Caenorhabditis elegans: one gene and its partners. The protein of the gene in region 1 interacts with the protein of each later gene in a pairwise test. Each region holds a gene or a part of one and is shown in the gene's direction. Other genes may lie near its edges.

What was found.
Region 2: the proteins of T23F2.5 (region 1) and F07A11.1 interact in a two-hybrid assay, tested with the Caenorhabditis elegans proteins (one large-scale study listed by BioGRID).
Region 3: the proteins of T23F2.5 (region 1) and scrm-2 interact in a two-hybrid assay, tested with the Caenorhabditis elegans proteins (one large-scale study listed by BioGRID).

Annotation. Positions count from the first base shown.
Region 1 is NC_003284.9:5,516,115-5,519,000, reverse strand, and holds T23F2.5 (UPF0057 membrane protein T23F2.5), read left to right. Parts: upstream 1-1,837; 5' UTR 1,838-1,860; coding exon 1,861-1,914; intron 1,915-1,964; coding exon 1,965-2,084; 3' UTR 2,085-2,293; downstream 2,294-2,886.
Region 2 is NC_003280.10:11,587,923-11,593,844, reverse strand, and holds F07A11.1 (uncharacterized protein), read left to right. Parts: upstream 1-1,721; 5' UTR 1,722-1,784; coding exon 1,785-1,857; intron 1,858-2,353; coding exon 2,354-2,431; intron 2,432-2,477; coding exon 2,478-2,624; intron 2,625-2,902; coding exon 2,903-3,177; intron 3,178-3,239; coding exon 3,240-3,437; intron 3,438-3,508; coding exon 3,509-3,604; intron 3,605-3,661; coding exon 3,662-3,843; intron 3,844-3,967; exon of another isoform or gene 3,968-4,117; intron 4,118-4,494; coding exon 4,495-4,713; intron 4,714-4,860; coding exon 4,861-5,144; intron 5,145-5,196; coding exon 5,197-5,321; 3' UTR 5,322-5,411; downstream 5,412-5,922. Other genes in the region: gfat-1 (glutamine--fructose-6-phosphate transaminase (isomerizing)), read left to right, coding at 1-55, 104-946, 992-1,195, 1,249-1,293; ints-7 (Integrator complex subunit 7), read right to left, coding at 5,456-5,659, 5,703-5,783, 5,831-5,922.
Region 3 is NC_003279.8:13,233,560-13,237,232, forward strand, and holds scrm-2 (Phospholipid scramblase), read left to right. Parts: upstream 1-1,788; 5' UTR 1,789-1,807; coding exon 1,808-2,170; intron 2,171-2,334; coding exon 2,335-2,577; intron 2,578-2,620; coding exon 2,621-2,723; intron 2,724-2,767; coding exon 2,768-2,826; intron 2,827-2,881; coding exon 2,882-2,911; 3' UTR 2,912-3,104; downstream 3,105-3,673. Other genes in the region: ZK1053.2 (uncharacterized protein), read left to right, coding at 1-31, 588-841, 892-1,101.

The DNA of each region.
Region 1 (2,886 bases):
GTCTACAAATGAGCCGAAATGCTTTGCTTGTAACGTCTCTGGTGAATCATAGAAAAGCAAAAAAATAGTGGACAACAGTAACTACACAAATAACTACAAAAATTACCTAAACAAATAAATTCCAAAGCACTTTTAAATGTTTTCCGGAACCGTTTAATATGACTAACTGTACGTCATTCCAGTGTTCTTTCCTTGTCTTCTCCTCAGCAACAATTTTCGAAAGTGAATGTTTTTTTTATTCAATCTTTGATGTCTTAGAGATGATCAGATTCCCCTCAACGCACCACAAAGATGTGCACCATTTGGGTGAAGAGACAACAACAAGTATCTCTCCCTCTCTCATCCCCCTCTTCCCTCTCTCTTGCGGTTTCCCACAGGATTACTTTCAAAAAACATTTGATCTTTGGATACAGGCGGGGGACCACACGATGCCCGCCAAAATGACCTACGTTGTGTGTGCCCCCCCCCCCCCTGCTCGGTCTCTGAGGCACTATAAAAGCGAACGCGCATTCCTCATTCAGTTGCCCTTTGCACCTGCTGATCCGCCACTTTTTTGTTTTCTACATTTCTCATTAGTATGCAAGTGACAGATGTACTCCATTTTCTAGTTTTGTTTGGTCTTATGCAGTTTTTCTGACACTTCACATTGCAACGCTCTGGTTTTCAATTTCCTTTAGTGCTTAATCTAGTTGCAATAGTTTAAATCTCCTTTTCAAATTGTTTAGCGAGGCAGAAAGACGAAATCAATTTCTATATTCTGATTAAGTCTGTTTCCACCGCGCTAGCTATTTCATAATATTGTAAGTCTAAACTTCAGTTTCTCAGCTCCCAAAATAAATTTTCTTCCGCTCGGAAAGCTTGTTAATCACGTATCAGGTGACTTTTCGGTTTGACTCTTATTATGTCAAAAAATATCTTTCCCTTTCTTAGATTTTTTTGAAAACCCGCTGCAAAACGGCAAGAAGGTCAAATTTTCAATGTCAAGCACCCCCTCTTTTGCGTTGTAAACAAGAAATCTGCCGTTTCGTTCGCTATTCTCTCAAACCCCAATCATTTCAAAACCAAATGGCAAATTCGACTATTCCTCTCCGTCTCCTCACTAGACAGGCCTGAGAAGTCACTAATCCCGGTTGCCATGGATTTTTATCATAAAGCGTTACGCTGTTTTTATTCGTATCTCATTTTGATTGCCAGTTGTGAATTTTATATAGAAATGAGATGTGCAAAACTGTTTTTGATTGAACGTTTGTTTGCTCAGAAAACCCTTTTTCTCAAAACATGTAATATTAGTAGTATTGTAGACTCCATTGGTAGCAAGTTTCATAGGCAAACATGTTGGCACTCCTTTTGACAAACAATTGCAAAATTCTGACTTTGAAAAAATGGTTTTCTGATTCATCCTTGTCACAACAATACAAACAATAATGATGTTTAACTGAAAATAATAATTAAAAATAAACTAATGATATGTACTTTTTGTTGCCAAAATTTCAAGTTTTGCGTTTTAAGAAATTGAGCATACTGATTTTAGCTAATACTCTGAAGCATGACGTTTCAGCTGTTTCAGTTATGCGGAAAAAAACAGACTTTCGCAGCTTAGTATTATGAAATATAACATTTTTTCAGTGCACCCAAGAAAAAAACATAAAAACATTTCCCCTGAAGTTTCTATAGGTGACTCAACTTTCCAACGTATAAAACATGATAGAGAACAGCTTTTTCATTTTTTGCTGAAATATACATCCTTGTCTTTTTGTCGATAATGCTTTAAACCCATCTTCTCGTTTATTCACTTACGTTTTTGCTTTTCGTTGGCTTTTTACTTACATTGCATTTTCAGAACTCTCAACTATTGCAACTATGGCTCTCACTTGCACCGACATTCCAAAGTTCCTCTGCGCTCTGCTTCTTCCAGTAAGTTTCAAATCTTTCAAAAAAAATCAAATTAAACAACTTATTTTCAGCCAATCGGAGTCTGGCTCGAGAAGGGATGCACTTACCACTTGGCCATCAACATTCTTCTCACCATCCTCGGATATATTCCCGGAATCATCCACGCTTGCTACGTCATCCTCGCCTACTAAGCTTATCATGCAAAGCTTCACAATCATGACGCCATCATCAGCAATTCGGATCGTATTCTTTTTTTCAATCAAATGCTCTTTTCCTCTCAAAAAATCTCCCCATCATCTCATAATATTGGTTTCAATTTCTCGTGATTTAGTTACCTTTATGTTGAACTGAATTTCATCCATTTCCTTCTCTGTAAACGAATAAAGGTACGAACAAGTAACACTGAGTCACTGAATTGAATATGAGAAAAAAGAAATGAACCGTAACATTACATTTGGAACGAAAAAAATCTATTTACTAATGTTGACAGAAGGTGAGAGCGACGGGAAAATAGTGACGTGATGTTTTTTACCTCGTGAACAATGTGACAATTTGAAACATGATGCTACCGCACAGTTAAGGTGGGAGGTAGACTAATATCGAGCAACTGATAAGGAAAAAAACAATAGTTAACTTTATTCAAAAAAGAAAAAGTCTTTTTTTTTAAGTTGAGAATTTAAAGTCTTGCGAGAATTAATACATTTTTAAAATGCGGGTTTCATAGTCACAATAAGATGTTTGCATTTTACAAAAATGTGATAAATGTAACAGATCAGGATTTCTAAAAATTTGGAGCAAAGCAGAGAATTGCAGAGAGATGGCGAGGAACTGGGATATTACAGGTGTTGTTCCAGTCATAATTAATTCGCGATATGTGCATCTTGGCTCGATAAGCACGGTGGACACATTGCGATCAAGCACCGGGAATTTTTAGATCTTTGAAAACTTCAAGTCCAAATTTCCATCTAATTAGAATAATTTAAACAAGTTTTT
Region 2 (5,922 bases), on another chromosome or scaffold:
AGAGCAAAAGAGAGAAGTAAAGCTTCTCGAGATGGAGCTTCAGGAGATCATGAAGGTTTGCATAGGAAAATGGGAATAACTTGAATAAAAACATATTTTTCAGGGATCTTTCAAAACGTACATGCAGAAGGAGATTTTCGAGCAACCGGATTCGGTAGTCAACACAATGCGTGGACGTGTTCTTCCATCGGGACAAGTCGTTCTAGGAGGAATCAAAGAGTACCTTCCTGATATCAAGCGTTGCCGCCGTCTGATTATGGTAGCCTGTGGAACATCCTATCACTCTGCCATCGCATGCCGTCAGATCCTTGAAGAACTTTCTGAGCTGCCAGTCGTCGTCGAACTTGCTTCTGACTTCTTGGATCGTGAAACCCCAATCTTCCGTGATGATGTATGTCTCTTCATTTCTCAAAGTGGAGAGACTGCCGATACGTTGTTGGCTCTCAGATACTGCAAGCCACGTGGAGCTCTCACAATTGGAGTCACCAACACTGTCGGATCATCCATTTGCCGTGAATCTCATTGCGGAATTCACATCAACGCCGGACCGGAAATTGGAGTCGCCTCTACCAAGGCCTACACTTCTCAGATCCTATCCTTGCTTATGTTTGCTCTCACCCTCTCCGATGACCGAATCTCCATGGCTAAGAGACGTGAAGAGATCATTGACGCTCTCAACGATCTTCCAGAACTTATCCGCGAAGTTCTCCAACTCGACGAGAAAGTTCTTGATATCGCCAAACAAATCTACAAGGAGAAATCACTTCTCATCATGGGAAGAGGATTGAACTTTGCCACATGCCTCGAAGGAGCTCTCAAGATCAAGGAGCTTTCCTACATGCATTGCGAAGGAATCATGTCTGGAGAACTGAAGCACGGTCCACTTGCCATGGTCGATGAGTTCCTCAGCATCTGCATGGTTGTTTGTAACGATCGCGTATACAAGGTAAGAATGAGCTGAATTGTTTTTTGATTGAAATCATTTTTTCAGAAATCGTTGAATGCACTTCAACAAGTCGTTGCTCGCAAAGGAGCTCCAATCATCATTGCCGACTGCACCGTTCCAGAAGGCGATCTCGCTGGAATGAAGCATATTCTTCGTGTACCAAAAACTGTTGATTGTGTCCAAAACATTCTCACAGTCATTCCACTCCAGCTACTCTCATATCACATTGCTGAGCTCAATGGAGCTAATGTAAGTTTACAATCGTCTTAATCTTGAAATGTACACGTATAATCTATTTTCAGGTCGACCGACCCCGCAACTTGGCCAAGTCAGTTACCGTCGAGTAAAGCGTCCCGTCTTCTGCCCAAACCACCCCAAGTGCCTTCTCACCATCTCGTCTTTTCTCCCACTCTGTGATTATATTTCCCTCACCAATTGCCTTCCCTAATTTATTGCATGTAATCTGGTATACCCAGCGATTCGACCAATAAAATGTGGTTTCCGGTATGCAGTGCATACTATGCACTTGTTGAGCATTGAGAAAACTGGGAACACCTCTAGTATGCTGGGATCGAAGAAGTTTCAACTTTTCATAAGCAAAATTCAAACTTGTAGGCTGAGTAAAAGTAAATATAAATAAAACTGAATGTTTACCTCTTTTCCGGTGCAGATCTGCTTTTCGTAGATACCTACGGAAGTTTAGTTGGTGCAGTGAAGTGTGCACTAATTCTGAATCTCGGAGGGAGCTCACCCGCCAACAAGTCATTATATTAGTTTAGCGTTTTTCAATTTTCTAGGACACCTCCTATTTATATAAATACTATTATAATTATTGCGGATGCGGTACGGAAAAGTCTACTTTTATGATCGTATGGGAAATCGAGAGCCGAGTGAAGCTGATAAGATAAGAGGTTTGAATCATGTGAAGTGAATATAGATAGAAATTATGTTTCTGGGTCCTGGAACAAACAAAAGAAATGGTGTTATTTTCTTGAAAAGACGTGTGCGCCTTTAAGCGGAGTACGGTAGTTGTTTCCTCTAATTTTCTTAATTGATTGCTCCCTTTTTGATATTGACCAAAAAATTTCAAAATACAAATAAACCAACAGCAAAAAACCTATAAAAATAGAAGAAAGTTGCGAAATCGATTTTTTAAACTACCGTAATCAGTTAAAGGCGCACACCCCCCCCCTCCGGCATTGGTTTTAGATTAGAAAAAAACATTTTTTGCGGAATTGGAATTTCTTAATTACAAAACTTATTTGTCTATATTAAATCAACAAATATGTGAAATTTGAAACACTACTATATCTGCGATCGTGGCGGGACCCATTTGGAAAAGCAGCGTGGGCCTTTAAAATTAAATGTCGAATCTTTTACGAAACTATAATTAAACGATGAATTCAGAAGCACTGGATAACTTTGAAGCTCCACGATTCCGTCCACCAGATGAGCCGAGAATGATGAAGAATTATACAACACAATGTAGAATTAAGAAAATCAGATTTCACAACAAATAATTAATTTTCAGTTTCACCTTTAGACACACCACCACCAATGAATGGAACCCCACCAATTGCCGGGATGCATCATTATTTGACAGATCCGGATCCCAGTCGAGAAATGATGGATCTTCCGGCGAATATCTCGAATTTTGGAAGAGATGATGCGAGTTTAGGTGAGATTACTGTAGGTTTCTTCATCAGGGTTACTGTAGGTTTCTTCATAATGCGGAAATTGTGTGCCTTTAAGAGTACTGTAATTTCAAAGTTTTCATAGTTTTTCTTACGATTTATTAAAAGTTTATGTGTTTTCATTGTAACTTATAAGTTTTCCTTTTTTAACATTTTTTAATTCGACTAGCAAATCTCCGATTTGCCAGGTTAGCAACAAATCTCAATATTTCAAAAAAAAAAAGATTAATATTTTCTCCTGTATTTTTTCTAGCATTTCCAGTTCTTCCCGCCAATCTTATGGGTGGTGCTGACACTTCCTTACCCAACATTGATCGTTATAAAATGGATCTTCCATCGGAAATCTATCCGAACGATCCAATGCCACGTGGAATATCTACACCTCCAATGAACATGAAATTCAATTTGGGAGAGAATATTGGGAGAGACGTGGATAGAGGTGTAATGAATGGATTCGGAGCAGAGCGACAATATCAGGATCCTATGATTGAGATTGAACAAAACCTGGGGAATATTCGATTCGAAAGTGGTAATGAGGTACGATTACCAAATTTGCCAACGACGAGAAGTTCACTAAAAAACCAAAAATTTGTTTTCAGAAAATCAAAGCAACAATTACAAAATTTGATGAAGACTATTACGGTAATGAAATCTGTGCTCAGTGTCAAGCCGAGGATGCATATATGGATCGAATGAGACGTCAAGCAGAAGAGGAACGGAGAAAATATGAAGAAACTATGAAGAGAGCAAAGATGTATGAAGATTTGACAAGGGAAAAGGAAGAAACTTTTAAAAGGGTTAGTTATGACCTATTGTGGGAGTTATTTTCAATAATTAATTTCTCTACAATAAATTTTTTTAATTTCAGGAAGAAGCGGAACGGAATAAAGCTCTTCGAGATCATGTCGATCGTGTGAATGCTGAAATGATTGAGATGAAAAAGAGAAGACCTAAATCCCCAGTAGTACGCAATCTGTTCACTTTAATGTTCTTTCTCAGAGTCAGTTGTATATATTTTCAGCTGGAAAACTATATATTCCGACACGAATCTCCTAGAAGTCGAGATGTTGAAGTGCGTACACGGAAGGATGCATACCGAGCAGAACTCGATAGACAAGTCGAAGAGAAACGATTGAGACGGATTGCCGAATTTGAGAAAAATGAGGCGATTGATGCGACGAGCAATGCGAGAGCCGCGCTGGAGTAAGTTGTTTACTTTTGTTTTTAGTATTTTGATCCAAGATTCATACAGAGAAATCTAAAATTTAATGTCGCACACAAATTTCAAAAACCGTTTTGTTTTGAAAGCGGCAAGAACTGAAAAGGCACTAGGTAGGCTTCTTCCTCTAGACCACCTTCATGCCTAGTTCAAGCCTTATATGCCTATCCCACGCCTACCTCATTTGTAGAACATGCCTACCTTGCCTAAGTGTTCTCTAAGACCGGTCCCTCACAATGCTCCTGCCAAATGTTTATCTCATGCCTACCTGATTGCCTACCTCTTGCCTAGTTGTTGCCTATCTCACGCCGGCTACAGTGATTGTCGAATTCAAACCTACATATTCCATATCTATATATATATATTTCATATCTATCCTACCCATTCCATTTCTCACGCCTGCCTACGAGCCTGCCTATAGGCCTCATGTCTATCTGCCTTTGTGCTTATCACATGCGTATATTTTGCCTGCCTATATGCCTAGTTTATCCCTATTCCATGGTTTTTGCCAACTGGCCTGGCGGCCTACCTCATGCCTGCCTACACGCGAACCTCATTCTTACCTCAATCTTATCGCACTCATAGGCTATGCCTGTTCAAGTGCCTACGCCTACCTACGCCTATAATGTTTTCAGATTTGCGAATGCTCGAGAAGCGGAACGAAAATCCATTGAACATGCTAAAGAAATGGCTCGAAAACAGTTGGAATTCCAAATGGAAATGAGCAGAGTCGGTGCTCCGTCGGATAAAAATTGGTTGTGGTGGGCTGAGAGACCAGATGAACATGGATGGAGAGATGCTCGATTGAAGGGGTTAAAACATACAAATCAAGTTGAAAGGAATCAGACTTTCAAGTTCGTTTTCTTTTTCACGCAGAACGGTTTTTGCTACGTGGCCTAGAGAAAAGGAAAAACTCGGCCACTGATTTGACCGAGGCTTCTTATTTCACGGCCACGAAGTAAAACCGCGCTGCGAATGATCCAAAAATAAGATTTTTTCAGACAATCAATTGGAATGCTGGAAGAATTTAAAGCTCGTCAAGCTCATGATGATATGGTGATGAGAGATAATCGAAGAGCAAAATATGATAAATTGAGAGATCAGTTGCATGAAAATTCGAAAATGTTGTACCCATTGACCAAAACTGAAAGCCGTCCGATAATTGTTCAACCGGATCCTAGAGTTGAAGCTGCCTGGCGAGAAGCTCATGAGAAATACGATCGAAAGTTTGCAGTTTTACAGGATAACGCTATGAAGAGCATTTCTGGAGCAGCATTAGATGGAGGTATTGTTTGAATTCAAATTTAATTTCATTAGATGAATCTGAAACTTTTCAGTTGCCCATGCTACCACCTCCTGTCGTCGTTGTGCTCGGTGTGCTCGGCCCATGGAACGGAAGACCACCCTGTTTGTTAATCGTGGTGAGACAATTTTACCTCATCAAGCTAATTGGCACTCTTAATTTCATTAAAGTTTCAACAATTTCTAGTTATTTTTAAAATCGAAATAAATATTATTTTTGTGTCGATTTAAATAAAAAAAGAAGGAAAAATGGTTCAAATTCAAAATTATTCACGATATGCTCTATTTCTCTGCTCACGCCTCAGCATGAAACAACGATCCTTTCGGAAAGTGCCTCCTGGGATCCGGTGGAAATTGATGTCCGACTCGTTTCAGCTCGAATCCGACCGATGAATATTTCTCGCGAACTGTGAAGTGAAGTGTCGTCACATTATACGCTTTCCACTGCTTTCGTGATGTTTGATCAATGAATTCGATTCGGAATTTGACGTCGCATGCCTGAAAATTAAAATTTTTTTTTTGATTTGGTGGTTATTTTTACAGTTTTAAAATTGAGCAGGAATTGCGCCGTGAAGTAGTTGTTCTCGCTCGGCTCAACTAACTCTTGCAGAATTTGATTTTGCTGAAAATTATAAAATTTATGGACTTTTCGTTGAGAAAGGCTTATACCGCATGATTTGCCAGATGTGTGATTTCCGCAAAAACAATGATGGATCGAATTGGCGATGGATGTGTTGATGTGATGGCTCCATCTACACGGA
Region 3 (3,673 bases), on another chromosome or scaffold:
TATGTTCCCAGTGATCCGGATGCCCAGGAAGGTTAGAATTTGGCACGAGGAGTAGGCGATCACGCCTCGTCGATCTAAGGCACACTGAGCAGATCAGACCTAATTGCGACCTGCTCGGCAAACTCCACCAGCTTTCACGTAGTGCGCGTTTGAAATTTGGTAATTTGAGATTAATTGATAAAGGCCTAGTGGGTTTGCGCCGCCTGCGACCAAAGAATGATTGGACAGACTAGGAATCCCAGCTGAGTGAGGCGCGAAATGCGGGCCTCACGCTGATACCGCTGTGTATTCGAATGTGTATTCAAAATATATTCAAATGCAAAAAGGCAGTTATTTGAAGCAGCCGACACTGTCGGGGTTCACTATACATTCGGATACATGCGGCTTGAGTGACGCCGTGAGGCCGGCGCGGTGACCGCTGAGGCCAGCGGATGCGCCGTTGCGGCGACTTCATGGAAGCCCTAGCACATACCTATCTAAAATACTGCGCCAGAAAGCTGACAACATTCTGGAGAAAGTATCTACACTAACTATAAGTTAACTCGTCAGCACTGTTGCCAGCTATACCGTTACCAATTTTCTTACAGGAATCGATGCGAACATCCTTATCTACATCCTACTCCTTGTCCTTCTCATTTGGTGCTTCTGTATTGCCCTGTGTCTTATTTGGATGTACGTGTGTGCCAAGCAACGAAAACACAAGATGATCAGTAAAGCTGAAGAGGAACGTGAAGCTATGTTGGCACTTTTGGAGAAAGGACACGAGACGGAGCACAGTTCTCGTAGAGCTAAACCATCGGTTTCTGTGGAAAGTGATGAGTTTGATAAGGAGTGGAAAAATGTGAGTTACAAAAACAGTTATTGATTTTTTTTCCAATTTTTAAATTGCAGATCAAACCATCCAAGTACACCCCCGCTTCTGTTTCCACTAACGAAACTAAATCCGAATTGGAGAGTGTGAAGCAACCGGTTGCAGCTACCCATGTCGCTCCTGTAGAAGTTTCAGAGTTCGAGGAGAGGCTCGATGATGATGTGGATCATAAGCCAAGACATGGAGGATATGTTAAGACGAAGAGAACTGCTGACTTACATTTTGACTGAAAATGAATAAAGTTTATGAGGGAATTAAATGGAATGTTAGTTGATGACTCAGGAATAAATTTTCGATAATTCCCAAGAGAAATGTGGTGACCCCTGGTAGCTTCTAGGTAATTGCAAATGAATTCTCGTATGAAAATGTTATAAATTGAAAAAATTCTCTCAATTTTTAGTACACGAGTACCCTGAACCTTGTGCTGTTTTCAAAGTATGTGTGTCTAGCTTCCCTCTTCGTCTATGCGCCTCTCACTTTCCGAACACATTCGCTGGTCCCACTTTCTGAACCCGCTTTTTCTCTGTTTCATGTTTTTTGAGCATCAATAAAAACAACGAATGTTTCCTACTTTTGACCAGTTTTCCGGTTTCAACTGTTCAGCAATTTTTTTCGATCTAAAGCAATAGTTTTTACTGTAATTTCTGTAGTGTTTGAAGAAAACCCCACGGATTTATGAGTTATAAAATATCAATATGCGTTTTTAAGTGTTTATTTCGACGAAATTTTTTTTACCTCTATTTTTATCAGTTTTAGAGCTCGATGAGCCGAGTAAAATTATTGAGTAGTCAGTAAACTCTTTTATCTATTTTTTCTATTTTTGAGCACCAATTTTGTAACAAAATGAAATTTAAGAATTCGGACCAATCTTTGCTTAGTTAAGCGCAATTTCAAACAATCAGCAACCCGTTTTTTATAAGTTTCAGATTCGAAATAATGGATCAACTATTTTATAATGGACCACCTGATTACGTTGAAATTGAAGACCGAGCCATAACAACTGAACCAGGAGCTTCTATACAAGCAGCTCCCGGAGCAATTTGGATGGAAGCACTTCCAGCGATTGAGGGAATCCCAGCAGGGTTGGAATACCTTGCCTACTTGGACACGGTCATGGTGCATCAAGTGAAGGAGGTTCTTGAGATTCTTACTGGATGGGAGAGTAAAAATAAGTATGCTATTAGAAATAAAAATGGACAGCAGTGTTACTATGCGTTCGAAGAATCCAACGCTTGGGAGAGACAGTGTTGTGGATCGCAACGAGGTTTTACGATGCACATTGTGGATAATTTTAACAAGGTGAGTTATGGCCTAGAGATGCAGATTTCTAAGCCATGAAGCTTGAGTTCTTATCACTTTTTAACTCCTGATTATTTCATGGGATGTGTAATAATAGGAAAACATTCCTAAAGTTTCTTGAAAATTCTTTTAAATTAAGTTTTTAAAACATTTGTTTTGTTAAGAATGTGCTCATCGTCAAACGAGAATTAAGATGCTGCGCAGACTCATTTTGTGGATGCTTGCTAGGTCTTCAAAACATATGCACCATTGAATCACTATCAACTGGCCTTCTGGGTACTGTCCTTCAAGGATATGGTTGCACGAATTCATTCTATAACATTTTGGATAAAGATGGAAATCTGATTTTCCTAGTTGATGGTCAAGGATGTTGCACAAGTTGCTGCTGTGAAGATAAGGATTTTACGGTGACAAGACTTTGCCGAATTTAAAATACTCCATACTTTTCAGATCAAAACTCCCGACAGCTCCGTGCCAATTGGCTCAATAACCAAGAAGTGGGGTGGACTATTGCGTGAAGCGTTTACCGATGCCGACACTTTTGCAGTCACCTGTGAGTTAGTCTTGAAAGTGAAAGAATAGTTGAAAGAATTTCAGTTCCCATCGACCTTGATGTCAAGCTCAAAGCGATACTGCTGGGAGCCACATTTTTGATTGTGAGTTTTTGTGCTTCTTATCCAAAATTTAATTTAACTATTACTCTATTTTCAGGATTTCGTGGAGTTCGAAAATAATAACTGATGTGGAAAAACTGGAAATCTCGCAATGCACTTCTCGCTTGTTTTCTGCGATCAGAGCTCTAATTATGAAATGATAATGTGCTTTCTTTGTATGCATGTATATTAAAATAAGACATTTTGCAAACGCGCCGTTTGCATCGCTTTGCTTCTTTTCTTCAACATCTTCAAAATGAAATAAAATAATTATAATTATATCGCACTTCCAATAAGCGTAAAGCAAGAACGATTGAATATATAACGGAGAAAACTCCGATATTAAAAATCTAGAAATCTTTTGATTAAAAATCTTTCGGTAAACTGATAAATACAAATTTGGCCTACTTTTCACCTGTATCGTTACCACCGACATGCTCTACTGCCATGCACATCTCTTCAATTCCGTGATTTACGAGACGAGAGGCAATAAAGATCACAGTTACGTTTTTTAAAGATTACAACTTTTTCAACTTCTTAGATTTTCACGAATACTTCCTTGTTGCATGTCTACGAAGCAAGCCTGCTGCCGAACCCAATTCTTTCAAAACGAACTATATTCATTTTTCAACCCTTTTTGATAAGTTTATCTTTTGTTAAAATATAAGAAAATGTCTTCGGAAGATCCTATTTATTCACAAAACGAATCACTGTTGTTAGGCAGTTCTAACAAGTAAGTTTCTTTTTTTGCACTGCTAGTGAGCCCAAGATTTTCCAAATAAAAGATTAATTTTGGCCATTTTATATTCAAAAAATTTATTAAAGGAAGTAAAACGTTTATCGTTCAGTT